Tamandua tetradactyla: one gene and its partners. The protein of the gene in region 3 binds, or shares a complex with, the protein of the main gene of each other region. Links are inferred from orthologs where the notes say so. Each region holds a gene or a part of one and is shown on either strand. Other genes may lie near its edges. The genes, in order: POLR1H, TAF1A, TAF1C and TAF1B.

The links.
Region 1: TAF1C (region 3) and POLR1H share a complex: the UniProt entries of both Homo sapiens proteins name them as parts of the pol I pre-initiation complex. The link is inferred for Tamandua tetradactyla from reciprocal best matches to the Homo sapiens genes TAF1C and POLR1H.
Region 2: TAF1C (region 3) and TAF1A share a complex: the UniProt entries of both Homo sapiens proteins name them as parts of the transcription factor SL1/TIF-IB complex. The link is inferred for Tamandua tetradactyla from reciprocal best matches to the Homo sapiens genes TAF1C and TAF1A.
Region 4: TAF1C (region 3) and TAF1B share a complex: the UniProt entries of both Homo sapiens proteins name them as parts of the transcription factor SL1/TIF-IB complex. The link is inferred for Tamandua tetradactyla from reciprocal best matches to the Homo sapiens genes TAF1C and TAF1B.

Annotation. Positions count from the first base shown.
Region 1 is NC_135331.1:84,544,516-84,552,016, forward strand, and holds the start of POLR1H (DNA-directed RNA polymerase I subunit RPA12), read left to right. Parts: upstream 1-4,477; 5' UTR 4,478-4,808; coding exon 4,809-4,944; intron 4,945-5,196; coding exon 5,197-5,297; intron 5,298-5,500; coding exon 5,501-5,610; intron 5,611-6,009; exon of another isoform or gene 6,010-7,501. UniProt on the Homo sapiens protein: Core component of RNA polymerase I (Pol I), a DNA-dependent RNA polymerase which synthesizes ribosomal RNA precursors using the four ribonucleoside triphosphates as substrates. Can mediate Pol I proofreading of the nascent RNA transcript.
Region 2 is NC_135330.1:83,117,589-83,124,818, forward strand, and holds the start of TAF1A (TATA box-binding protein-associated factor RNA polymerase I subunit A), read right to left. Parts: upstream 3,014-7,230; 5' UTR 2,889-3,013; exon of another isoform or gene 2,622-2,888; intron 2,201-2,621; 5' UTR 2,070-2,200; coding exon 1,949-2,069; intron 1-1,948. UniProt on the Homo sapiens protein: Component of the transcription factor SL1/TIF-IB complex, which is involved in the assembly of the PIC (pre-initiation complex) during RNA polymerase I-dependent transcription.
Region 3 is NC_135342.1:78,858,770-78,865,719, forward strand, and holds the start of TAF1C (TATA box-binding protein-associated factor RNA polymerase I subunit C), read right to left. Parts: upstream 3,010-6,950; 5' UTR 2,855-3,009; intron 2,849-2,854; exon of another isoform or gene 2,592-2,848; intron 1,037-2,591; 5' UTR 1,036-1,036; coding exon 898-1,035; intron 221-897; coding exon 139-220; intron 1-138. UniProt on the Homo sapiens protein: Component of the transcription factor SL1/TIF-IB complex, which is involved in the assembly of the PIC (pre-initiation complex) during RNA polymerase I-dependent transcription.
Region 4 is NC_135329.1:56,007,155-56,014,405, reverse strand, and holds the start of TAF1B (TATA box-binding protein-associated factor RNA polymerase I subunit B), read right to left. Parts: upstream 3,024-7,251; 5' UTR 2,821-3,023; coding exon 2,803-2,820; exon of another isoform or gene 2,631-2,802; intron 1,481-2,630; coding exon 1,382-1,480; intron 1-1,381. UniProt on the Homo sapiens protein: Component of RNA polymerase I core factor complex that acts as a GTF2B/TFIIB-like factor and plays a key role in multiple steps during transcription initiation such as pre-initiation complex (PIC) assembly and postpolymerase recruitment events in polymerase I (Pol I) transcription.

The DNA of each region.
Region 1 (7,501 bases), on a different chromosome or scaffold from region 3:
CCTGAACTTTCTGATACTTCCCAGAATGGGCATATTCACTGAATTCTGGGGAAAGATGAGGAAAAGCATTAGAAAAAAAGTTCGTTTAAGACGTGATTTTATCATAAAAGCACTGAAACTTTATTAATCCTTAATTTTTCCTATTTGACTCCTCAAAAAGGGAGGCATAGTCAAGAATTTTCTTTGTGGTGGCTTTATAACTGTATTCTCTTCTCCATTCTGAGACTTTTCCATAAGAATATTCACTTTAATATGGCTTCCATGGTACGGCTGGAAAAGAGGATATGCAATAACACTCTCAAATTCCTTTACCTCTTTCTTTACTTTCTCACGCTTCTCATGTGCAGATGGCAGGCTCTGTTTATCCCCCAAGAGCCTTTCCTTGAGTCTTTGCTCTATAAGTTCTCGCCCTCGAATCATGCGTTCCTGGTGATCTTTAATTTGCACCTGTTCCCTCTCTACTACCTGCTTTCTTCTCTGTGCTTTCTGGTTGCCATGTTTTTCTGACATGATTTTTGGTAGTGTTGTTTCACTAATGACTCGTAGTTGTTTAAATGTTTTATTCCTGAGTTCTCTGGCCTGTCCGGCTCGATGTATGTACCTCTCTATGTGTTTCAGCTCTCTCTCAGGTACTAAATAGTACCATTTTTGTCTCTCTATGTCTTGGGTTATTTTCTCCTCTATCTTCTTCTCAATTTCACTGACTGACTTTTGTTTTTTCATCATTTCCACTGTTCTTTTATTATAATAAGACTCTGCTTTGGCAAGCCAGTAATCAAGAGAAAGAGACTGCTCCTCACAGAGTGTTTTATACTCTTCTTGATATTTTTGGGTTATTAGTCTTCTTGTTGCTGTTGTATGCACGCCACCTAGATTCTGTCAAAATGAGGTATAGAATTTTAAAATATGACCACCATCTTTTTATTTAGAATATATGTAAAGACGAGCCTACTCTCAGTACTGAAACAAGCAAAGATACATAGTTTTTAATTTACTTCAATGTAATAATTGTGATTTTACTCCCATGGCACCTAGGTAAGCCTGTAAGCTCTGAAAGTACGAAGTACCTATCCATCACCATAAATCAATAACTAGTTTAAAAATATGTACAGTGTTAGGGGTTTTCAAAATGATACCTTTTTTTGCAGCTGTGGACAAAGCTGAGAAACATTTTTCAGTGTAGACTTACTATCTGAAGGTATCATTTGGGGGAAAGGATTTTAAACCTAACATTCCTTCTCCTAGTAGCTCCAAATTGTATGATGCAAAGATAATTTACTTACCAAGATCTTTTTCTCCAGTGGGGAGTGTTGGCCTGCAGCAATCCTAGAGTCTTTTGATGCTTTAGCCCAGGCCAATCTGTAAAATAAAAAAGCAAAAATAGATTAGAATGTGGGAGGTGTTAGAACACATCTGCTCACATAGTGTCTAATCTAACTGAATCAAGGAACCCAATGGTTTTGGTGAAGTCCAATGGTATTTCCCCCCCGCAAAGAGAAAACCCATGAATAGGTTATAGCAGGGCCATTTTCCTCAAGGAAACCATCGTATTTCTATGGTAGAGAGTAATAAATGGTCTTTTAAGAAGAGGATTTTCCCTTTATATGAGCTAAAAGCATACTTCTCTTGTGGACTCAACTTGAACCATTCTGAGTCTTGTACTGGGGAATGGGCGAGGGAAGTGACAGACTTCTTGGTGAGGTATTGCTGATGCACATCTATGTCAGACTGGTCAGTCCCCCAGCCTCCTTCATCTTCTGAGATAATTCTAGACTCTAGTTTTATTAGTTCATTCTCTTTCTGTAGTTTCTTGATCCGGGCCCTCTCTGCCTCTATCAGCACATACAGCATCTCTGTGCGCTCAACTTTTGCTCTGAAATTGTTATTTTATTGTCCACACTTCTGCTTGGCTGCCTTACATACACTGCCAATCATTCTTCACACTAATCCATTATGGGACCATTTACAATTGAACCCTTCAGGGTAGGAACTGGCAGGTACTCTGTGTTTACTTATAGGACAGGCTGAGAGCAACACACATGAAGACTATTAACTTTCTATGTGTCATCCCTGGTCTGGTCTGAGTTACTGTGAGGTCGTATTTAAGCTACTGAGGATGCCTAGCAATTCATCTCTGTGCTTTTGTTTACACCCTTTATGATTAAGAGCATGGGTTTTGGAGCCTGATAGGGTTAGACTTGAATCTTAAATCCACCACTTCCCAGGTGTGTATACCAAGGGCAAGTAACTTATCCTCTATGCCAGTTTCCTCATCTGTAAAACAGAGACAAGACACAATTCTGCCTCTTGGGGTTATAAAGATTATAAAGAACAAATACAAGTTAGATGTAAAGAGCTTGGCATAGTGCTTGATATATGGTAAGTTCTCAGTAAATGGCAATTATCTGTCCTCCACAGATTAAGTCCATGACTCTCCAAAAATTCTTTTTGCTCTACTCTGTCTCATAGTAGCTTCTGCCTTCCCCTGAAGACTTTTTTTCTACAAATCATATGAAAATTAATCACGCTTTACATTGTGACACACACACACACACATCACTTTTCACATTTTGCTGCATTATTTTTACAACTATAATTTGGGTGTATTCAAAGAGCAGAAACAAAATTCAGATTTACAAAGATATGATCTCTCTATATTATCAGAGAGAATCTGAAAACTATTCTGAATCACTGACCTCTTAGATGCATTCATATTTGCCTATGCATAACACATTAACATCTAACACAGTATTTAAGATGAGTCTGTGATTCCAAGTCCCCTTAGTATTTAAAAGTGAAGATTTATTATTTATTATACTTATCACATGATGTCTCAGCATCTTTTTCATCCCCATGGCTTTGTATATATCTTTTCGTTAAAGCATTTACCAGTCTTTCTTGAAGCACATGGGCATATTTATTTGATATGCTCATCCTGGACACTTACATTTTGTACATACTAGTGTTCATTACTCATTTGCATTCCTTGAGGTTGGAGAACAATTTTCAACTTTGTAGCCCCAGACTCAGCTCAAAGCCTGGCATAAATGCTCAATAAACATTTACTGATTAGAATGTGAACTTATTGGGGAAGGGGCATGCCTTATAATGCTTGCAGTTCCTTTACTGCATTAGGATATTCAATACATGTTGGATGTTTCACTGTATGTCAAAGCGAAAAGGAAAAGTTGGGGTGCGAGGAGGGCTAATTTCAATTTCCATTTTCAAAGGAGACAGCACAGTGAGATGTAAGCATAGAAACTGCCTACCATCCTGGGCTTAGCAACAGACCTGTCTTTGTAATACAAAGAAATGACACTCAAGTAAGTGAAATTACAGGGCTTACCACTCTCCTGCAGCTCGTTAAGTTTTAACTCCATTCAATATCAGGTATGTCCCCACTATTGGAAAAAAAAGAATCTCCCAGAGACGGCATTTTGTTTCTTTCAGAGAAAAAAACAGTGATAGCTCCAGGAAAAAAAATATATATATATACATATGGAGATTATCAGAACAATCCGGTTGGGTGGAGCTGGGAGGACTGGAAAGAAGCCAGGGAACTCATCTAGGAGTTTCCCTTTTAGTTCAAATTTGTACACAGATTATATGTTACAAATGAACAAAAATACCAAGATTTTCTAAAGATACTACCCTTAAATTTTAGAAAAGATTAGGGAAATGTCGACTGCCCACCTAATGGATGACAATGATTTAGAGTTGGGCAGGAGGCGAAAGAGAATGGGGCGGGAGTGGATTTCTGCAACAATAAGCCAAACTTCACCCAAGTCTTCGTGAAAGCCTTCCACTACCTACTCCCTTGATTAATGCTAGTCTCCCTCGCCTGGCAGGTGCCTAAGAATAGGGGAGCCCCGAAACACCCCTATTCCAAACACTTCCGCTACCTCCAAAATCCTAAATCCCTCCAACGTCCTACTCAATTCCTTTCGTCTCAAGGGACTAAGTATTCCTCCTCCGTCTTCATCCTTACCACTTTCTGCCCCTTAAGATGCCAACTCACATCTTCCAAGCGCCCCTAAACTGCCTCCCAAGAAGAGCACGCGTGCCAGGCTGAGCACTGCAGAGCAGCCCACGCTCCGCCAGCAGGATCCAAGCAATACCAGAACCGTAACTCTCGGAATGCTTAGCTTTCTTTGTTTGTAACCACTGAGCAGCCGCCGAAAGGAGATGCCGGCTCAGGAATGGCGGGAATTGTAGTTCCCTTGTCAGTAAAACAAGTATTCAGGAAGATTAGTACGTTTTGGAGGGAATGACCTCCGGCAAATGATGCGAGACCAAGAAAATAAGTATATCAGAGTTCTGTCCCGGGGATAAAAGCAGCCAGAAGCGCAGTACACGTTAGCATTTTTCTTTTCCGACGTCACAATACAAAGCCGAAGAAACCACAAGTTCCGCTCGCGCGGCTTGCGTTCTCTCAGAAAGGCTTTTGGACTTAGGTTAGCGATTACTTATGACATCTCAGCCAATCGTGAGCCGGGACGCTTTGACGCTCTAGGCCGCCATGCACCGACTGCTCGGCGGCTCTCTGGGAGGCCGACGCTCTAGCCCGCGGGGTTGGTCAGCTCGTCTCCCAGGAAGGGTACCAAGCCGCTGGGCTCCAGAAGAGGGCTGGCAGTGCTGGACGCTTAGGCCCACTCGTCGCAGAAATGGGAGGCGTGCTTTGGAATGTTTATGCCTAGGTCCTGGTTCAGGACAGGAAGGACCCCAGAGTGGTGAGGTTGGTTTTAAAAAACCTTTATTTTGTTAATACGTTGCTCGTCCGCTCCCCAACCCGCGACCACCTTTCCGTTATGGACCTCGCCAAGACCTGCTCCAGCTTCCAGTCGGACCTCGATTTCTGCCCAGACTGCGGCTCTGTTCTGCCCCTGCCCGGGACTCAAGATACGGTCATCTGTGCGCGCTGTGGCTTCTCCATCAACGTGCGGGGTGAGCGACTCTTAGGCAGTGGTCCGGGCGGAGAGTCCGGAATGGAAGTGTCGGAGGTTTGGGGACCTCAAGATCGCTGGGATTAAGGAGGGGGATTCTAGAGCAGGAGACCAGGCACTTATACCTTTGGTCCAGGGCGGAGACCCGAAGGTGACACAAGGAATGCAGAGCCTCCTGGCTTAACCGGGAGCGGGGTTGCGGGTATCTACTCCCACCATTTGTCTCCACAAACGATTCTTACTGCCTGCGCAGACTTCGAAGGGAAGGTTGTGAAGACCTCATTTGTGTTTCACAAACTGGGAACAGCCGTGCGCAAGTCCGTAGAAGAAGGACCAGCGTTTCAGGGGCCCGTGGTAAGTTAATGAGATCAAGGACTGGCTCAGTAAGGGAAATGAAGAAAGAAATGGGGGAGGGGGCAATTGGAGAGATATGGAGAGTTTTGTACCCAAATCCAGGAAAGTAGAGGGGAAATGTCTGTGGGATGTGACAGCCTGATTCCTATGCGAATTAAGGAGATACTGACTAGGCCTTCCCTGTCCCACCAATTGTTTCCCAGGTTGACAGACGCTGCGCTAGATGTGGTCATGAAGGAATGGCATACCAGACCAGACAGATGCGCTCAGCCGATGAAGGGCAGACTGTCTTCTACACCTGTACCAACTGCAAGTGAGTGTCATTTCCCCTCCCTCTGCCCTTTCTCCATCTACTTGCCAGCTAAACAAATCCAATGGCTTACCTTTTACTAAATGAATAATTATCTTCTTTGGTCATATCCCTCATATCTGTACAGTTCAGATAGTAAGAAAATGCATGGTCTTCTTTTTAATATTTTCATTGAGAAATCTTCAAACATACCTTCCATACATGGTGTACAATCAATGGCTCACAATATCATCACATAATTGTATATTCACTACCATGATCATTGTTTAGAACATTTGCATCACTCCAGAAAAAGAAATAAAAGGAAGAAAGAGAAACCTCGTGCATACCATACACCTTACCCCTCCCTCTTATTGACCACTAGTATTTCCATCTACCCAATTTATTTTACCCTTTGTCCCCTCTATTTATTTATTAACTTTTTATCCATATTTTTTTATTCCTCTGCCCATAGCTGGGATAAAAGGAACATCAGACACAAGGTCTTCACAATCACGCAGTCACACTGTAAAAGTTATATCTTTTATACAATCGATTATCTTCAAGAATCAAGGCTATTGGAACTCAGCTCAAATGTTTCAGGTACTTCTCTCCACTCACTCCAACACACCATAAACTAAAAAGGGATATCTATATAATACATAATAACCTCCAGGATAACCTCTTGACTCTGTTTGAAATCCCTCAGCCACTGAAACTTTATTTTGTCTCATTTCTCTCTTCCCCGTTTTGGTTAAGAAGTCTTTCTCAATTCCTTATGCCGGGTCCCAGCTCATCCCAGGATTTCTGTCCTGTGTTGCCAGGGAGATTTACACCCCTGGGAGTCATATCCCCCGTATTGGGTAGGGCAGTGAGTTCACATGCTGAGTTGGCTTAGAGAGAGGCCATATCTGAGCAAAAAAGGTTGTCTGGGGATGACTCTTAGGCATAATTATATGTAGCCTTAGCCTATCATTTGCAGAATAAGTTTCATGAACCCCAAGATCGAGGGCTTGGCTTATTGATTTGGTTGTCCACACTGCTTAGTGAGAATATCAGAAATTCTCCAAAAGGGGGAAGTTGAATATTTCCTCCTTTCTCCCATTCCCCCAGGGGACTTTGCAAATACTTCTTTATTCATTGCCCAGATTACTCTGGGATTTATCAGATCATCACACTAACTTGAACAAACCAACAAAATCTCACCCCCTATTGAAGATTCCATATACTTATAATGTTCAACTAAACTAACCGTACTAATTAAATTAGGAAATGCACTACCTAAAATATAAATTTTGCACCCAATAAACATCTCTCCCTTTAGTCTCACACAGAAGTTGAAGTCTTAAAATATAGATATCATCCTTTAACTGTATTCTGATATACCTTAGTTATATCTGGATCAGCTTCATTCATGTCGCTACTTGATGTCTGATCACTTTTTTAACTTTTTAAACAGTTCCTGTGTGGGGTACTGATGACTTTCATAGCTTCAGAGTTCTGAGTCTTAGATGTCACATAAATACCTGAAGTTTCTGGGAATGACCATGTTATATACAAACAGCTCAGTATCTCAGAATTTAGAATTAACAGTTAGATCCCCTGAATATATGTGACTGCTGTAAGAGCTTACAATCTAAGACCCTTTACAATAGGCCCCAACCTAATCACCCATGTTCTCAACTTTAGTTCACTGAATTTTTATATTATGGTTAGTCCATAAGGTTGAGGCATGATAATATTTGTCTTTTTGTTCCTAAAATTTCATTCAACATAGTCTTTAAGGTTCATTCACCTAGTTGCATGCCTTACATCTTCATTACTTCTTGCAGCTACTTAGTAGTCTGTTGTATGTATATACCACAGTTCCCCCTTCCATTCCTCAGTCGTTGTACCCTTAGACCACCTCCATTAA
Region 2 (7,230 bases), on a different chromosome or scaffold from region 3:
TGGTGTATTGGAGTGGCTAGGGGGAAATGCCTGAAATTATCACGCTGTGTTCCAGTAGCCATGTTTCTTAAAGCTTTCGCAATGTGACTGCATGACTGTGAAAACCTTGTGTTTGATGCTCCTTTTATCTACAGTATGGACAAATGAGTAAAAAATATGGATAAGAAATAAACAAATAATAGGGGGAGCAAAGATTTTAAAAATTGAGTAGCTTGAAATACTAGTCATCAATGAGAGGGAAGGGTTAGGGGTATGGCATGTATGAATTTTTTCTTTTTTCTTTCTTTTGCTGGAGATATGCAAATGTTTAAAACTAAGGATCATGGTGATGAATACACAACTATGTGATGATATTGTGAGCCACTAATTCTAACAGTGTCAAGAATGTTTGTTATTTACAATAAAAATGTTTTAAAAAAAGAACTATAAAAATAGTAATAATAATATTTCTTAAGGAAAAGAAGTTTTGGCATGGAATGAGCTATAAATAAGAACCAGTCATTCAAAAATCAGCCCCTAAAAGAATCCAGAAAGTTGTCAGTCAGTCAACAAATTCTAGGTGCTTGGCATAAATCTTTATTCCAGACTGACCCCTCCCTTAAAGGAGCTTTCATTCTAGGGGGGAGGAGGGCAGATCCTTCAGAATGCCAAAAACTTTCTACTAGTATAAAAAAATAATTCTTAGGCAATTTCGTTTTCAAACTATAGTTACTTACAACGTCAATACTGTACGTTACTTACAGTGCCAATATTATTTATTACTATTTTCTCATTGCAGATATACAATATCTTGGGTTTAAAAGGCTATCCATAATACATAATAACACATTTCTAAGCACATAAATTCTGGTCTTAAACCTATTTACCTGCAGACTTAATCAAACTCTCTATAGATCCCTGGTGACAGAAACATACCCAGGTATATCTTAACTAGCAGAAACTGAGTAGCATTACCTAACCCCACACTTCAGGTTCCTAGTTCTAAGGGGTGAGGTATCATTCCTGAAGTACAATACAGTCAAACTTCGCTTAAGTCATATGCATTAACCTAGTTAAAATAAAATGAGGAGAGGAATGGAATTGGTAATTTTTCAACACTCGCTGTGCATGAGGCTCTATGCTAAGCAATTCAAATATATTATCTCACTTTTTATATAGCTCAGTGGTTAAAAGCACAGGCTTTGAGATCAAACAGACCTGGGTTTGACTCCTGACACCACTGCTTATAGTTTAACTTCTCTAAGATTCAGTTTCTTCATCTCTAAAATGCCTGACATATATACTGCTATGAGGATTAATTTACTGAGATAATTAATGAAATGATACTCAGGTTAGAAGGAAAAAAAACAGGAGCTAAGGGATTTCAATTATGGGCTACGAAACACGGATTGAGGGCAATAATAAAAATAATGCTTCAAATGTATTCCCAGGACTACATCACCCAACATGCCAACATGTAGATAACTGGTTCTTATTCAATCCAGTAGGGAATTTATCTCATCGAAAAACTTGCTCATATTTATATTAAATGAAAATGGGGGAAAACACTTTTTTAAAACTAATTCTATTTGAAATCATTCCAGTGCAATTCAACAAGAACTTCCTGAACACTTCTTAGGTATGCATTCCTCAGTGGGCAGAGTCCCAACGTTACTAATCTGCATATCACCAGTATTTAGCCAATGCCAAATAAGTGTGTGAAATAAGTCTTGCTGGGGAAAAAGAAATACAGACTACTTGTTATTAATTCAAAGGAAAAGAATTTTAAAAGAAAAAAAAAAAGACCTATTTGTGATTTGTTTTCTTCCTTACAGCCTAAAAAGTATATCACCTATTTCCTACCTTGAAAACTGAAGCTCTCCCCAACCTAGTTATTCATTTCGCATCCATACTGAATCTAACCACTGCCTTGCATTATAGTTAAACGGTCATATGTTCTTTTACTTACCCACAGTTTCTATTTGCTTTCGGAGCCAAGGGAAATAAATTCCTGTACCAGAGAGCACAGACATGTCCACCCCATCCTCCTCGGGCACGGGCCTTGCTGATTCCTCAATGAAATCACTCATACCTACTCGAAACTGAGAATATCAGTTACTTTCTGTACATCTTAATCCGTAGGCTTCTGAGTTACAGAGAAAAGTCGTCTTCTGATCTAAGAAATACTTGATCAGCAAAATTTTTCTGTACTTGGGAATTCCTTTAAAGTAAAAATAAGATATAATTATGTCAGCAACATAAAAAAAAATACAACATCAACTATAAGCAATCACATACAGAGATAACCAAGATATTGTCCTTTTACTCAAAAACAAACTCAAGTCCACAAGAAAGAGAAAAATGAGAAATAATAGTAGGACAAAACAAGAGTAGCAGTAGCAGTTGAGATGTACTGGGATCTTACTATATGTCAGCCACACAAACTACCTAATTTAATCTTCACAGTAATCCTGAGGTAAATACCGCATTTTGACGGTGAAAAGACTTGAGGGGCTTAGTGTGATTATTATTATTATTTTTTATTTTTATTTTTTTGGCATGGGTAGGCACCGGGAATGGAACCCGGGTCTCCGGCATGGCAGGCGAGAACTAGCCTGGTTTAGTGTTATCTTGTCATCTACCTGAGGTCACAAGAAAGGTGACCAAGGCTGACCCACCCGGGGCCGTCCAGGAGTCCCGACCGAGGCCGTGCTCACAAACACGCCGAACCCCGCGGTGAAGCGCGCGGCTACCACGGCAACAAGGCTTCCGCTCTCTCTCTTCGACTCACTCACGGTCTCACCGCACCAGGAGAAAATACCGGGCCACACCTGCGTCCTCGCACAGCCATTCCCGCTCAACCGGGAAAGCAGGCGGTGCCGCAGACAACGTCCACGACACGTACTCGCCTGAAGCGTGAAGCCCCTGGGCCCGGCTGAGCTGGGCGTTCCAACTTCGCGGGACACCACGAACAAAACCTCGCGGGAAGTGACGTCCGCGACGCTTCGCGTGAGCACGCGGAGAATCGCTCGGGAGCACGGGCCGTGCGCAGGAGCAGCCCCGCCCCCAGCGCCGCCGTGGTGACGTCACGGCCGCCCCTCGTGGCCGGTGTGGAGACTTGCCGCTTTCTCGTGGGTATGGTCTCAGGTTCACGTTTTAATCTGTCCCAGCCGGAAAAGGAGAGATTCTAATTACAAGTGGATATTGGGGCGACGGAGAATGGCTGGAAATGAAGAACAGTCGAAAAAGCAGGCTGTCACATTACCCGAGTGACTTACCGTGCGGGACCTTCCGGTTTCTGCTTGCTCACTGACGGGCTGCGCGAACGGAGGCGTGGCGAGCGACCCCGATAGGACCTCTTGCTAGCCGTCTAATTGGCTTTTTCCTTTTATTAAAGTTTTAGCTCTGACCTTCGGGTGAGTTTAAGCGACCCTGACTGCCTCCCCAAAACTCGGACTAGAATCTCTATTTGGTCCTCAGCGGGGACGATTCCGAGTACTTGTGTTGGGCCATTTTCCGTAAGTGACATTGAAAAACCTGTATGAAATAGGGGTCAAAAATAAAATGGTTAAACGATGTGAAATGAGAGACAGTTAAGGGTTTCGAGGAGGGTGACCTTGGAAAAGCAGAGATACACGTGAACATAATGTGTCTTTCGGATATTTGGAGAGCTGATCCGTCCAGGGAGGTTTAGATTACTTTTGTATAGCATGAGAGGATAGAATTGATTGAATAAATGCTAGAAGGAGGCATTTTTAAAGTCGTTCCAAGAAAGATTTTTGTTAATAGCTAAAGTTGCACCGATAAGGGTGTCGGTGACTCCAGGAATCTTTTGAGCTCCTCCCCAGAATGAACCATTTGAGCACAATCAGTGTACTGCGGAGGCAACTAAAGGTCTAGTAAGAGCATGTAAGTGATTCCTTATAATGTTAGGAATACTTATTTCTATGTTGCATTCATAAATACTGGCAAGAAAAGTTCCTCCTGCTATGCCATATAAGTGCTTGGCCTTTCTCAAGTATGTGCTCGAGTGCCACAGGCAACACTGATCTATATGATGGTGTGGTAGAGGAGGGCACGACACACACACACAAAACTATAGTTATTAGCCCCCCAGCCTAGACCTTAATCTGGATATATTTAGTCCATTGCCATGAGATATAATTTCACCAAAACCAACCCAGAGTTGCTTTTATGTGGCTAGAAATTGATGTTCTCATCTAAGTGGGGAAGAAATTTCTAGTTTCTCTACACAGCAGTAGATAAAAGAGAGAAAGTTAAGAACTAGTAAGTTTATATGCCCTACCTACCCTTCCTTTCCCATGGTACAACTCTGGTAGAACATGCATTGGGACAAAGAGATTAAAAATATTGACCATGCTAAATCACAGTCTGACTCACTGGTCAGATTTTCCCTCCATCACCACCTCCCTGTGCGTTGACAGGTTCCTGAACATGGACTGCACAGGGTGCCAGACCACCCTGGTGCACTACCCCTCCATCCACTTTCCCCTGATGACCTACTTGCCCATTGTCTCAGCTGAAACATGAGCAGTTCACAGTGGCAGAGGTGACTAGTATCTGCTTTAACCCTCCAGATAGCCAAGTGTGACCCTCCCCCAGAAAGTGCATAGTCTGCTGCATACTCTACAGTGGAAAAGTGGAGCTCAAGGATGTGACTGCCACCATCGCTATGATCAAGAGTACCATCCTGTGTATGGACTAGTATCCAGTGGCTTTCAAGATTGAAATCAACTGCCACAACCCCGCAGTGGCACAGTGAACAGTCTGCATGCTAAGCAACACCACAGCCATCTCCGAGGTCTGGGGCCTCCTTGACCACAAGATTGACCTGGTATATGACAAACAGGTATTGCTGCGCTGATATGTGGGCTAGGGCATGGAGGAAGGAAAGTTCTCTGAGGCCTGAGAGGAGCTGGCCACCTTGGAGTATAATTATGAAGTGGGCCTGTGGACAGGCCTCTTGTTCAATCTAATTTACTGCTGTTTTTTCCCCCTCAGGAGTGTCATTTCCTTTTTGATATCTAGCCTTGGATACAGCCAACTAAGTCCATCCTATCAGTTTTTTTTCTCTTTAGAGGTGTGGGTTTACAGAGTAATCATGCATAAAATACAGGTCTCCACATTTCACCCTATTATTAATACCTTCCATTGTGTGGTACATTTGTGACAATTGATGAAAGCACATTTTTTATCAGTGTAAAATTAACTATATTCCATGGACTCACAGCTAGTGTTATGCGGTTCCATGTTTTGTTTTGTTTTTTAATGTTATTCTGGTACCATATGTACAACCTAACATTTCCTCCTTTGAACCAATTTCAGATATATATTTCACTGCTGTTAATTATGTTCACAATGTTATGCTGCCATCACCGCCATCTATTATCGAAACATTTCAGCATTCCAAATAGAAATTCTACATTTTAAGCCTTAAGTCCTGTGATGGTTGGGTTCTGGTATCAACTTGGCCAAGTGATTGTGCCCAGTTGTCTGGTCAGACAAGCACTGGCCAAGGATATTTCGTGGCTGGTTGATAAACTAGAAGGTTGGTCAGTCAGTTGATTGCATCTGTGGCTGATTACATGTGTGATCAACTAAGGCAGTCTCCTGCACTGAGATAATCCAATCAGTTGGAGGTCTTTAGTGAATAAGAGAGACTCTTTCACTTCTCCTGAGGAGGCTGTCCAGAACATTCATTGGAGCCACCAGCCTCACAGTTTGCCGTATGGATTTTGGACTCTTCCATTCCCACGGTTGCATGAGAAATGTTTATCTCATATTTACAGATCTCTTCTGTTGGTTCTGTTTCTCTAGAGAACCTAACACAGCTCCCTATTCCACCCCGTTCCCCATCCCTTTGTAACCTAGATTCTGACCATATGAGTTTGGTTATTCTAATTATTTCATATTAGTGAAATCATAAAATATTTGTACTTTGTTTCCACCTTCTTTTGTCTGTTGATGCATGTTTCAGAATTTCATTCCTATTTATGGCTGAATAATATTCCATTTTGTGTATATACCACATTTTGTTTATCCATTCACTGGTTTATGGACACTTGGATTGCTTCCATCTTTTGGCGATTGTGAACAATGATGCTATGAATATCGGTGTGCAAATATCTGTTCAAGTCCTTACTTTCAATTCTTTTGGATATATACCTAGATATATGCTGGGACATATATGCTGGGCAATTCTATACTTAACTATCTGAGAAAGTGGCAAATTGTTTTCCACCGAGTGGCTGCACCATTTTTACATTTCCACCAGAAATGAATAAAGTGTTCCTATTTCTCCAGATCTTCTCCAACACTTTGTAATTTTGTATTTTTCTAATAATAGCCATTCTTGTGGGTATTAAATGGTAACACATTATGGTTGTGATGCTAATGATGTTGAGCATCTTTTCATGTGTTGTTTGGGCATTTATCTATCTTCTTTGGAAAAATGTGTGTTCAAATCTTTTGCCCATTTTTAAATTGAGTTATCTTTTTGTTGTTGAGTTGGAGGACTTCTTTATGTATTGGATTTGTGGCTTCCAAATATTTTCTTTCATTGTATGGGTTGTCATTTTCCTTTCATAGTAAGGACCATTGATGCACAGAAGTTTTTAATTTTGAGGAGGTCCTATTTATCTATTTTTTCTTTTGTTGCTTGAACTTTGGGTGTGAAGTCTAAAACTCTTGCCCAACACAAGATCCTGAAGACGCTTCCCTATGTTTTCATCTACGAGTCAATAGCTCTGTTTCTTATATTTAGGTCTTTGATCCATTTTGAGTTTACTTTTTTATATGATGTGAGGTAGGTGTCCACCTTCATTCTTTTGCAAATGGAAATCCAGTTTTCCCAACACCATTTGTTAAAGAGCCTGTTCTTTCCAAATTGAATGGTCCTTCCCCGTTTGTCAAAAATCAGTTGGGGGCGGGCCAGGTGGCTTAGCAGGCAGAGTTCTCAGAGACCTGAGTTTGATTCCCAGTGCCTGCCCATGCAAAAAAAGAAAGAAGAGAAAAGAAAAAGAGAAAAAAAATCAGAAGGATATAAGTGTAAGGGTTGATTTCTGAACTCTCAATTTGACTCTATTGTTCTATTTTTCTGTCCTTTTGTCAGTACTATGCTGTTTTTTATTACTGTGATTTGTAATAAGCATTGAATCTGTAAGTAACCGTGGGTAGAATTGACATCTTAACCTTATTTAGTAATATTTTTTAAGTTTTTGAGAATTTATT
Region 3 (6,950 bases):
GTGACTGGAGGGATCCAGGGACCCCAGGGGAGCAGAAAGCATCAGGAGGGTGAGGGAAGGCTTCAGGGGACAGAGGGCTGGGGAGAGGAGTGACAGGTGGGGCAGCCTGGGAGCCGACCAGAGGAAGGGGAGCCTTACCAGGACTAGGAGGCAGCAAGGGGAGGGGTCCAGGGGTCTCTGGCTCCCACCACAGGCCCTTGGCTGAGGGCAGTGCCACATTCTGCAAGAAAACCACAACCACGACAACAAGCGCTCCACTTTTACATGCTCAATTCAATTCACACAATCACCCTCCAAGGGTGGTACAACTGTAATTGCCACTTTACCAAGGAGGAAACTAAGGCACAGGGAGGTTAAGTCTCTTGCTGCAGGTCACAGAGCCAATAAGGAGAGGAGCTGGCATTGGAACCCAGGCAGCCTACAGGCAGGCTGTGGTTTTTACTCCCAGCGTCGTCCCTACTACACCCCGTTTCTGTCCCTTTGCTTCAAACTCAAAGCTATCACAATTTGAAATTATTTCATTCACTGATATGTTTGCTTGTTTACTCCTGCTCGACCATGAGTTCTGTGAGGGCAGGGATTATGATCTGACTCACTGCCAGTTTTCCTAGTACCTGGTAAGATGTCAGGACACGGTCAGGACTGTTCAATATGAACAAATGAAGGACTCGGACAGGGAGGCAGGACAGAATGAACCCCAGCTCTCACCAGGTAAGCCGTCCATGGACAAGGGCTTCCCACATACCTTGACAGGGCGGGCTCTGGCTCAGCCTGTGTCTTCATGGGTTTGGGCTACCACCGCCCACCCTAGGCCCTTGCCAACTGGTGTGCTAGGAAAGGGGACTCAATTCAACGGCTCATTCTGGAGTTCTCAGGGCCCCTTCCTACCCTCCTCACCTCTGAGTTCTGGGGCTGGGACAGTGGCAGGGTCAGTGCATCTCTCCAGCTGCACATAAAAGACAGGTCGGGGACACTGCTCAGTCCAAGGGGGCCCGTTGTAAACAAGGTGGGGCGGAGGGAGCTGGGGAAGTCCATTCTGGAAAACAAGAACCAAACTTTACCCTGGCCTTCCCAAGAGACTTGAATCTGATCACGGTCTCCAGAGTTTCTAGGGAGAGTAAAAAGTGCCCGAAGAGGAATCTACTTTCCTTGGTGAAAAACATACTGAAAAAGATATGACTATATAAGTCTAATGGAAAGTAACAAAAAGTTCTATATTAAAACATAACAACCAAACAACCACAAGAAGGGGTCAGTGACTGGCCAGGGAAAGTCTTGTTGAGTACATGGCATTTGAGCAGAGATGGCATCTAATGGGGGAGAGAATAATGCAGACAACTGGGAACAGGATTCCAGACAGAATGAAGAGCTAGTACAAAAGTCCTGGGGCAGGAAAGTGCTTGCATGTTTGGGAAACAAACAGGAAGCCACAGAGTGAACACGGAGAGTGGAAGGGAAAGTCAGACAAATGGTGATGGCTCAGTTTCTATCACAGTTCTTAACACCCTGTATTATCACTCTACTTTTGTAATCTAACTCCCAAGGCTGGACTCAAGTTCCCCCAAAGCCAGGGACTGAGTTGTGCTTATCCGTCTTCCCCCTGTCAAGCACAGTGCCTCCCAGAAAATGCACTTCCCAGAAAGTGTGTGTTGAATAAAAGTTTATTTTTATTAATGTGGGGGTTTTGGGAAATACAAAGTATTCTAAAAGTACAGGCAGCCATCTCCCTTTTAAAATTAAACACAAAAATAACAGCAGCACTCACTGAGTGCCATGGGCTGCCAGACATGGTGCTACATGCTTTCCTCTTCTTCCAGATATGCCTATTCTGGAGTTGAGAAGACTGAGGCTTGGTAAATGGCAACTTGCCCAAAGTCAACAGCTTATAAGTGCCAGACCCAAGACCTCAGCCCCCACCCCCTCATCCAATTCAAAGCCCGTGTACTGGACCACAACACACCTGTGCACCCAAGACCAAACAATGAGTAGTATCATAGTCTTAGGAGGTAAAAATCTTCTCCCTTGTGATGCACTTTACCAGTTTATGCTGTAGCTCTGCACGTCCACGTGTTTTCAGCACCACCCGTTATGCTAATGGCACAATGAGGGTCGAGTGATTCAGTGAGTCTCTTGGGGCACCCATCAACCTCACTGTAATCATAGTTTTCATGTATATCCTGTCTCCTCCACCAGACTGTGAGCTCTCTGAGGGCAAAGATTGTAACTGATTCATTCTTAAGTTCCTGGGGTCTGGCTGCTACTATTAATTTCTTTTGCACAATAGAAGAGGATAGTGTCGGGGGTCCCGCTGGTGCTCAGTGAATCTTTGTGAAAAGTCACTAGCTTCCATAAGAGGCTATCACACCTGCATTTCAGGTGCACCAAGCTTCCTCCCGACAGCCGCCACCTCAATAAACCAGCAGACACAAAAACACCTGCAGCTCATCTCCCTGTTCCGTGGATCCCAATCACGCTGACCTCCTTGGGGTCCTCCTCACTATGTTTCTTCTCACCACAGGACATTTGCACACTGCCCCTCTGCTTCGGATGAGCCCGTATCCATTCCCTCCAGGAGCCTCACAATATCCTACCTGTCCTTCAGATTTTGAGTCCTTTGTGTGCTCCTCAGGGAAGCGTGCAGACAGCCGCTACCCCGTTTCACATTTGTGGAATCGTCAGCCAGAGGCTACTAATAACCCACTTTGCAGATGTTAAATAATTCGTCCCAAAGCCACACCACTTGGGGCCTGCGGACCCGCGCGGAAGTAAACCGAGCTCCCCTCTCGGACCAGGACCGCCTCGCCGCCCGGCTGGCAGCGCTCTCTCCTCCCGTTCGAGTGGCCCGCGCACTTACGTAATCCGGGCTTCCGGGGTGCTAGTCAGAGAAATGGGAGCCCGCGCGACGCTCTTCTGTCCCTCCACGCGGGAGAGAGCCCTAAAGCCGCCACACTACCTTCAGCGAACCGCCGGGGTCAACACCCACCCACGTTGCGAACGAACAGTTTTCCGGGTCTGGCCGGAAGTGCCCCATCGGCGATAGGAAGTCCCGCCTCCCAGCTCGGGCTCCCTAGCGTCCTCGCGCGCCCCCTCCCGGACAGGGGAGGGAATGTGAAAGCCAGGTGGACGTGGTTTGAATCCCCACTTTGCTTGACCAACTTCCTTCCTGCTTGTTAGGGTTGATTTGCGTTTCAATTAATTCATTCAGCAGGCATTTACTGAGCGCCACTCAGAAAATGCTCCTGGGTTAGCCAGTGGGTAGCCCACTGATTGTCCTTGAACCCTAACAAGCTGGCTCCCTGGAGTACCTGGGGATTTTCCAGGGGAAGTTATTCAGGTATAGTTGCAGGCAGTGGGTCTCTATCAGCATCACCTGGAGGGCGGTTTAAACCAGGTTCTGATTCAGCAGGGGTGGGGTGCAACCTGATAATTTGCGTTCATCACTCCTGACATGCCTGTCAGGGGACCATGCTTTAAGGAACACTGCTCAGTGATAAATTCAAACCCAGTAGCTCTCAAACTTGAGTGTCCACCAGAATCCCTTGGAGGATTTGTTAAAACAGTGCGCTGAGGCTCACCCCCCAGAATTTCTGACTGGGGAGGTCTGGAGTATGGCCCAAGACTGGGATTTTTAAGAAGTCCCTGAGGGCAGGGGATGGGGGGGTGGAGGGGGTGGGCTGCTGACGATGCTGATTCAGGGATCAACTTTGAAAACCATTGCTTTAAAAGAAACCATTTCCAAATTCTTGACTTCCATCTATATAGTTTTGTTTTGTTCTCTGGGAGGAACTTGGAGTTGGGTGGTTCTCCTTTCCTGTATGGCCTTTCATAGTTGTTCTTTTCCCACCCATGGAGCATTGCCCCAGGATGGGTGCTGAACAAGGGGATGATTCCACAAAGCAGCGCTCCTACAGGAGCCCCCAGAAGATGAAGAAAAGCTGGGTGTGAGAAATAATGATGGAAGCGTACAGCTGTGGGGATTCTGGGGACTGAAAATTCTATTTCTTCATCTAGTGACGTGGGTGTGTTCAGTGTGTGAAAATTCATCTAATGATCTGTCACTTTTTTACATGTATGCATTTTTTGCATGTATATTATACTTCAATAAAGAAAAATACTGCTGGCTGTGATATCTTATTTCATCAAGACTTCGAACATCTGATTAGGCTATGTGCTGGTTTGAAAGGATGCATGTCCCCTAGAAAAGCCATTTCATAAATGCCATCTATATCCCATTTCATAAAGGCAGAATAATCCCTATTCATACTGTATGTTTGAAACTGTAATCAGGTCTCCCTGGAGATGTGATTTAATCAAGAGTGGTTGTTAAACTGGATTAGGTGACGGCATGTCTCCACCCATTTGGGTGGGTCTTGATAAATTTCTGGAGTCCTATAAAAGAGGAAACATTTTGGAGAATGAAAGAGATTCAGAAAGAGCAGAGAATGCTGCAGCACCATGAAGCAGAGAGTCCATGAGTCAGTAACCTTTGGAGATGAAGAAGGAAAACACCTCCTGGGGAGCTCATGAAACCAGAAGCCAGGAGAGAAAGCTAACAGATGACACATGTTCACCATGTGTCCTTCCAGCTGAGAGAAAAGCCCTGACTGTGTTTGCCATGTGCCTTCTCACTTGAGAGAGAAACCCTGAACTTCACTGGCCTTCTTGAACCAAGGTATCTTTCCCTGGATGCCTTAGATTGGACATTTGTATAGACTTGTTTTAATTGGGACATCTTCTCAGCCTTAGAACTGCAAATTTGCAACTTATTAAATTCCCCTTTTTAAAAACCATTCAGTTTCTGGTAGATTGCATTCTGGCAGCTAGCAAACTAGAACAGGCTACACGCCTAGAATTCAGAAGGTTGGGAACTCTGATTCCATTCATTGACAGACCATTCACTGATGTATCCCAAACATCCAGGAAAGTTCCTGGCATAGAGTAGAGGCTCAATAAATACTGAATCAGTGAAAGAGAATGAAATGAGATGGTTTTTCTGGGAAAATATCAACACATTTATTTAAATTGAAATTAACACCAGACTTTCTGATAGGAAGTAAATCTGAATTAAATGATTGATTTGACTATGAGATTTATCTGCTTGGCTTTGCCAATTAGATCATATGGAGAGTATTTTTCATAAATTGATGAAAACATATTTAAAGGACAATGATAATATATAATAAATCAGAAATTACACCTCTGTATTTAAATTTGGGATTAAAAATTTGGCATGTATAGTTTTTCAAAATTATTTTAGGGAGTAGGTAAGCAAAATATTTGAAGGCACTTATATGAGTTTTTTCTGTTGTAGCAAATCACCACAAATTTCGTGCCTTAAATCAACACTAATATATTATCTGACAGTTTTGGAAGTTACTAGTCCAAAATGGATCTCACTGGGATAAAACCAAACTGTCAGTAGGACTGCATTAATGGTACATGATTGGTTCGGTAGTAGAATTCTTTTGCCAAGTTCAATTCCCAGCCCATGCGCCACCACCACCCAAAAGAGAAAAGAAAATAGGACTGCATTCCTACAAGAGGTTTGTTCTGGTTTGCTAGCTGCTGGGATGCAACATACCAGAAACGGAATGGCTTTTAACAAGGGGTATTTAATAAGTTGCTAGTTCACAGTTCTAAGGCTGAGAAAATGTCCCAGTTACAACAAGTTTATAAAATGTCCAATTGAAGGCATCTGGAGAGAGATACCTTGGTTCAAGAAGGCCGACAACGTTCAACGTTTCTCTCTCAGCTGGAAGGGCACGTGGCGAACATGGCAGGTTCTGCTGGCTTTCTCGTAACTCTATCAAAAGGGGCTCTCTCCAAAATGTTTCCTCTTTTAAAGGATTCCAGCAAGCAACTCCACCTTCAGTAGGTGGAGACACACCTCCATGGATATCATCTAATCAAAAGTTACCACCCACAATTGGGTGGGTCACATCTTCATGGAAACAATCAAAATGCTCCCACCCAGCAATATTGAATGAGGATCAAAGGGCATGGCTTTTCTGGGGTCCACCACTGATTCAGACCGGTACAAGGTTCCAAAGAATCCATTTTCTTGCCTTTTCCAGATTTGAAAAACCGCCCATGTTTCTTGGTTCATGGCTCCTTCAATCTTCAAAGCTATCTTTTCTTTTTGTTATTAAAATATACTTTACATGTTGTAAAGTGCACAAATTTTAAGGGTGTAGCTTTTGGATTTTTTTGGGGGGGATTTGCATTTGGATTTTCTACAAATGCATAAAGCTGTGTAGCAACCACTCAGATCAAGATAGAAAACATTTCGATCACTCCAGAAAATTTTCCTGGTGCCACTTCCCAGTCATTACCCCTTCAGGAAGTCATCACTATTATGACTTTCATCACTATAGACTAGTCTGATCTCTTCAAGAACTTCATATAAATGGAATCATGTGGAGGATACTCTTTTGTGTCTGGCTTCTTTCACTCAACATTTCTGTAAGAGTCACCCATAATGTGTATGCAGCAGGAGTTTCTTTTGTATTATCGAGCAGTATTCCATTGTAGGAAATACACCACAATTTGTGTATGCATTCTCTTGTAAATGAACTTTGGGGATGTTTCCTGGTTTGGCAATTATGAAGACTCTGTTCATGTTCCTTTGTGGATATATTCAGCAGCCATTCCATTTTTGAAACCCTGTTGTCCCGTCCATTCTCTCTATGAGGACTAATTCCACCATTTGGGTAACACAAAAAAGCAGAATTCTTCTGAAGCCAACCCTTGAAACATTTGACTAGGTTGAAACTACCTTGGCCCCCCACACCTACTCCTTCCAAGATAAATGGTCTCTGTTCCACCAGTTGCTCCTCATAACCCAAAGTAGCCACACGGCCACAATTTGGTTAGCACTGCCAGGTCCAAGGGTAACGAGTAGCAGCAGCAGCAGCAGCAGCAGCAGCAGCAACTACAAAGACCACACATCT
Region 4 (7,251 bases), on a different chromosome or scaffold from region 3:
TGATCAGACAGAAACAAATAGAAACATTATCACATGCAGAAATAAAAGAAGCAATTAGCTAATATAGCTCAATTTCTACAAAAATAGTATACTGACTTTGCAGACAGTAAACAGTCCATTTAGTTATCATGTTTCTTCATTATGTTTACATTTGCACTGCTGGTGCAAAACAATGGTAAGTAAAATCGCTAGAGACTTAACACAAATCAAGGCAGAGGCACCAAACGGAATATATTTATAAAGCGTACAATTTGATGAGCTGTCCTTGAAACCATCAACACAATCAAGATAATTAGCATGCCCATCACCCCAACAATTTCATCAAGCAAGAACAAATCTTTTTAACACTATGTGTGAACACATGGGAAGTACACACGAGCCCTTCAGCTGAAGACTGAAGTACAACAATTGTCTCAAGGAAAAGCACTTGTGCAATTGAGCTGCCAGCTAAATTAACCACTTTTCTCAAAGAAAACATTTTTTTTTTACTTGTTTCATATATTTTGCCCAGGTTTGCAGCTGTTTCAAGTAGGAAAATAAATATGGTCCCAGGGACTTCATCTTGCCCAGAAGTCTACACATTTACTTTTATCTGCTCCATATTTGTCTTTCTTAAGCTTACTTGGTGAATGTGATTATTTGCTCCATCTTGCCTCTGTAGACTCGGAGCAAATCCCTTTCAACAGAGTCCTGCATTTTAGCAGGCTGTCCACACCTTTGATTATTTTGGTTCTGTTACTCTTACAGCGTGAAACCAGAACAGGACCAAGAGCTCCCCGTTCACCAAGATCACACAGAACTGCATGATAATTTCTATTTTAAGAGGCAGGTGTGGTGGGGTGAAAAGAACCCCAGAGTAAGGAAGACTCATGCTCAAGTTCTGGCTCAGACACTTCACACTTGGTACCTTTAGCAAGCTCACTCAAATCCTGTGAACCCTAGATGCTTCATCTATATACTCACATAACATATCTCACAGTTCCCTATGAAGAAGAAATGAGATAAGAAAACACTTTGTAATCTGTAAGGTACTGTACAAAAATAAAATGATATGAAGCATATTAAAAGCTCTTAAGCATTAACTAACATAGAAATGTATCATCTTCTGAGTACAATTTCAATTATTTCCCCTTAAATCTTAAATGCCGAATCAGAAAATCATTTAAAAGTGTGGCCCAACTTAATTTTAAAAACTCACCTTAAATCTAATTCACAAATTCCTTAACCCGTGTGTAAGTACTTGAAGACTACTTACATTTCTTGGAATTTTCACATTTCATGAGTGATAAAAATAAATATTCTTTGGGAACTGTGTTATATATCAGGCTGAAACTGCAATTTTGAAGCAAACGAATTCATAAATGATACATCAATTACTTACTTCTGTAACATTGTGGCACGAAGTGCAATAATATTTGCCTTCATCGGTAAGGCCCCAAGAGACAGCAGCACACTGAGTACAGCGTTCTTTGAACTCTTTCTATAGGAAAAGAGGATAGAAAAGGTGTTAACGAACAAATTACACTTAATACATTTTATAAATGAAAATCATCGAAATAAAAATAAATCAGAGGCGAATAACAATTCAGTCTCTGAACCAGTATAAAGCAAATCAAACTCTTTTCTAAAATATATATAGTGTGAGGAAAAAGAAGAAAAGGTGGTAAGGGTAAAACTGCAAACAGAGAAGAGTAAATAAAACTCCTTGAAAACACTGAATGAAAAAAAGGCAAGCTTTAAGTATAGAGAAGACTTAAAACATAGAAATAGCATATCATTTGGAACCTCCTTCAGGTCCCTAAAAACACACACTCACCACAAAGAAACCAGATTTTTATTAGAATTGTTTCAAGTTTCATTGTATTCATTCAGCAATTATAATGAGTATCAACTATTATAGTTATTTGAGTATAACTAAATGTATCAGGCATTTTACTAGACGCTAGGGATTCAATGGTGAGTGAAACAGACGTGATCCCTACGTGATCCCTACTCAGAGTATACATGCTAATGGTGAGTTATAATTATTAATGTATATTAACCATTCATCAATCAATGAACACTTATTGAGCAGCTATTATGAGTAAGGCCTTCTATCATCATACTGCTTCTGTACGTCAAAGACCTAACTCTGACTGACACTAAATCACTGATTCCTAATGTCTTAGGTGTTGCACAACTTATTATTCTTGATAAGAAGACCTAACACTTCGTCGACACCATTAAAGAATGCAGCATTTTATGAGGCATGTCAAAAATGAAAGCAAAATTGTTCTGACAACGTGGTCAAGTCTTCAACGACCCCATGCTGATAACTACCTTAACATTGGGGTGTCCGCAAACCGGTATTTGGAATCACTGCACCAGACCGAGGCGAGGATTCCCAGAGAGATCTGCAGGGGTTACTTGGGTGGATTCTGGTTCCAGCCTCTGCCCCTCCCTCCCCCACCACAGCATCAATGGGAACTTGTGGGTGGTCCGGTTGACAAAGGATGCGCCATGTGGGTGGCCTCCCCACAAAACCCACAACCTCATCTTCCTCCTTAAACACACCCATATCACAAACAAACCACCCTGCCTGCACCCACAACCTCGCTGAGCCTGAAACTCCTGTCTCGTTCCCAAGAACTCGAGTCGCCCGCCAACCCTGGCCCGTTTCCCGGCCTCGCATCCTTCCGGCCCGCCCCTCTACTTTCGGCGGCCTGCCTCACAGCCACTTAGCATCCTCCAACCCCTTCCCCTTAGCCTCACTCCGCTCCAGTCCCAGCTGTGCCCCGGCAGCCAGCGGCACCGCCTCCTTACCGCCTCCTCTAGGTCCATAACGGCGCCGCCCCCGTCGCCGCCACCACCGCCGCCGGGCACTATGAACCGGGTCTGGAGCGCAGCTTTCGGGAGCGGATAGTGCAGCCCTCCTGCCGGAAACAGGAAGCCCTGGCTTTGGGTTCCGGGTGCCTGCGGCCTCGGTGAAACCTGGACAAGCTCTGGGGGCAAAACTGCGTAAATCCGGTAGGCGCTTCTAGTCTTGCTAACTAAAACCAGCCAATAAACAATTGGGCGGGGCCTGCTGCCGAACTAATCCAATCACGCCTCGTTCTAATGGTGGTGCCTTACAGGACCCATTTTTTCGTTGCGAGACTTAGGGAGGCTAGGGAGGGCCAAGTTCCAGAGCTAGAGCTACCCGCGCTCACAATGCACGGCTTCCTTTCTCCACCCCTTACTGGGTTTTTTTTTTTTTTTAATAAGGGAAATGAGGCAATTGGAATGCCAATTTTATTTAGTAAACAAAACAGCATCTTCGCTGACTGACAAAATCTATCCAACTATTAAAAGCAAAACAAAATTATCTTAAGAGATAGTCATACAGATCTTGGTATTACCTACAGGTATACGTTTAAAGAGAGAGGGACAGACAGACACAGAATATTGAAGCGGAATACTGCATCTGAAATTGCCTGATAAAATTCAGAGAGAGCGAGTGAGGGAGTCAGAAGCAGGGATATCATGTCATATTTTCTCTCTTCTTCAGTGAGTCTTTTAACGTCTTCCACAAGCTGTCTTTTCTGTTCAGTTTCTTCTCCATCAGAGGAGGTGGATTCCTTGCAGCTTTCCCTCACATGAAGAAGGCATCAATACAGAATCTGAGGGCAACTGGGGTCTCACCGAAAGTGCAGTTATATTCTCCCACCAGACTCAGGCCTTCTGTGGATACCCAAATTTTCAACATAGTAGTTCTTCAATGTTGAAATTTTCACAAAAGCCTAGGACTCTTTTCTTTTCTTTTTTTAATTAATTAAAAAAAATTAACAACAAACAAAACATTAAGATATCATTCCATTCTACATATACAATCAGTAATTCCCAATACCATCACATAGTTGCACATTCATCATTTCTTAGAACATTTGCATCGATCCAGAAAAAGAAATAAAAAGACAACAGAAAAAGAAATAAAATGATAACAGAGAAAAAAAAGATTATACATACCATACCCCTTACCCCTTGCTCTCATTTACCACTAGCATTTCAAACTAAATTTATTTTAACATTTGTTCCCCCTATTATTTATTTTTATTCCATATGTTCTACTCTTTTGTTGATATGGTAGATAAAAGGAGCATCAGACACAAGGTTTTCACATTCACAGAGTCTCATTGTGAACGCTATATCACTATACAATCATCATCAAGAAACATGGCTACTGAAACACAGCTCTACATTTTCAGGCAGTTCCCTCCAGCCTCTCCACTACATCTTGAACAGCAAGGTGATATCTACTTAATGCGTAAGAATAATCTCCAGGATAACCTCTCGACTCTGTTTGGAATCTCTCAGCCATTGACACTTAGTCTCATTTCACTCTTCCCCCTTTAGTCAAGAAGGTTCTCTCAATCCCTTGATGTTAATTCTCAGCTCATTCTAGGGTTTTTCTCAGTCCCTTGATGCTGAGTCTTAGCTCATTCCAGGATCTCTGTCCCATGTTGCCAGGAAGGTAGGACTCTTTTTTTACCACAATCTCTGCCTCATCACCTAGAACATAGAGACTGTGGGCCTGAAGAGATGGTGCATGGGACAGGTGCATTTTGATGCAGAGCAAGATGGAAGAAAAGGTTGAGAAAAGAGACACTTTCTGGAGGGATCAGGCTTGCAGGGAGGGAGGCATGAGGAGAGGGAGTACTTAACCGGCCTTTTTTTTTTCTTGCTGGCTTTCAATAGCATGGATGAGATATTTGAAAAAGAACACAAGTTGTTGCATCAGACCTGGTTTTCTAATCACATTTTTCATTTTATTTTACTTTGTTTTGTTTTCTGTTTTTACTTACTTCAGTTTGCCTCCTCTGTAAAAGTTAGTTATTTCTTGATTGCCAAGAAATGGAATGTCCCAGATGTCTGTCAACAGACCAGTGGCTAAACAAGCTGTGGTATATACATACGATGGAATATTATGCAGCTGTAAGACAAAATAAAGTCATGAAGCATATAACAATGTGAATGAACCTTGAGGAAATTATGCTAAGTGAAATTAACCAGAAATAAAAGGACAAATACAGTATGGTTTCACTAATTTGAACTAACATTAATGAGTGAACTTTGAGGGTTAAAGTTAAGAACACGGGTTATCAGGAGATAGAAATAGGATAGAGATTGGACAATTGGTGCTGAAGGAATACAAATTGTGCAACAGAACTGATTGTAAAAATTCAGAAATGGATAGCACAGTACTACCTGACTGTAGCACAATAATATAAGTAAAAGGTTTTAAGATATGAGGTATTTGAGAGAAAGGAAAGTAGACAAAAGGATTGTAAATGAGCATGCTTTATTGGGCTGCACTCAGGGGCAGAGCTCACCGAACCCAAGAGGGACGGAGGTGAGTCCCCGCATGAGCTTTGGCGAGTGCAGTTTTTAAGGGCAGGGGTTAGGTGATGACATGAAAGGGGCAGCATATTAAACAAAGGATTATTATGCTAACGGGTTGAGCAGCGGGTGGTTAGATGTCCGTGAATAGATGTTTGCTGCTCAAGGACCTTGATTGTAATGGTTCACCTCCCTTCACCTCCTGTTCTGGAGTGACTTCATGATTCCAGCCTTACAGCCCTCCCTTATTCCCCCGACCTAACAATAAGTACGCTAAATGAAGCTGAATGTGATTATGATTGAGGGAGAAGGGCTGGGGGCACATATGAAACCAGAAGGAAAGGTAGATAAAGACTGAATTGACATAATTTAGGAATGACTAAAGGGGACAATGACAGTGATTAAATGTGCAAATAAAAAACGTTTCTGCATGAGGGAGAACAAATGATGGTCCACATTGCAAGATGTTGAAAATGTGTGCTGGTTTGAAAGGATGTATGCACCCTAGAAAAGCCATGTTTTAATCAAAATCCCATTTCATAAAGGCAGAATAATCCCTATTCAATACTGTAGTTTGAAACTGTAATCAGATCATCTCCCCGGATGATGTGATTTAGTCAAGAGTGGTTGTTAAACTGGATTAGGTGAGGACATGTATCCACCCATCTGGATGGGTCTTGATTGGTTTATTGAAGTCCTATAAAAGAGAAAACATTTTGGAGAATGGGAGATTTGGAGAGAGCAGGGAATGCTGCAGCACCACGAAGCAGAGTCCACCAGCCAGCAGCCTTAGGAGATGAAGAAGAAAAGTGCCTCCCGGGAAGCTTCATGAAACAGGAAGCCAGGAGAAGGAGGTAGCAGATGAAGAACTCTGACTGTGTTCGCCATGTGCCCTTCTACTTGAGAGAGAAACCCTGGACTTCATCAGCCTTCTTGAACCAAGGTGTTTTTCCCTGGATGGATGCCTTTGATTGGACATATGTGTAGACTTGTTTTAATTCGGACTCGGCCTTAGTCCCAATTAATAAGTTGTAAACTAGCAACTTATTAAATTCCGCCTTTCAAAAGCCATTCCATTTCTGGTATATTGCATTCCATCAGCTAGCAAACTAGAACAGATGGTATACAGGAAAAAGTACAATCAATGCAATCTAGGGTCTGTAGTCATCAGTAACACTGTAATATGCTTCCACTGAATATAACAAAGGCATTATGCCAAAACTAAATGCCAAGAAGGAGGGGCATGGGGCAAGGTATGGATTCTCTGTGGAAGAAAAAGAAGTGTCTTCGTATAGGTTCTGGTGGCAACATCATGTCTCTATACTTAAGTTGGATTTATGATATGTGAATAAAACTGTTTAAAAACGAACAGAGAGAAACAAGTGCTAGAAAAAAATGCAGAAAAAAAGATGTACCTATTCATTGTCAGTAGGGAAAATGAGAGTTGCAGCCCCTTGGAGGGCAGTGTGGTGATTCCACAGGAGGCTAGGGGTAGGGTTGTCATATAATCCTGAAATCCATTTGTGGGGACACAAATGGATATTTGCACACCAGTGTTTATGGGAGCAGTGCTAAAAAATCAATGTGGTATTGGTGCAAAGTTAAAGAAAAAGATTAATGAAATTGAATGGAAAGTCCAGAAACTGACCCCTAAATACATATAAGATTAACTGATTTACAACAAAGGTGCCATTACAAATCAGTGGGGAGTGGATGGTTTTTCTATAAATGGTACTGTATCAGTTGAGCATTGATAAGAAAAAAATATTGACCCCTGCTCACACTCTATACAAATATTAATTTGAAATAAATCATAGAATGACGTGATGAATAAAATCATAAAGTTTCTAGAAAACAACATAGAATATCTTCATGATATGGAGCAAGCCAAGGTTC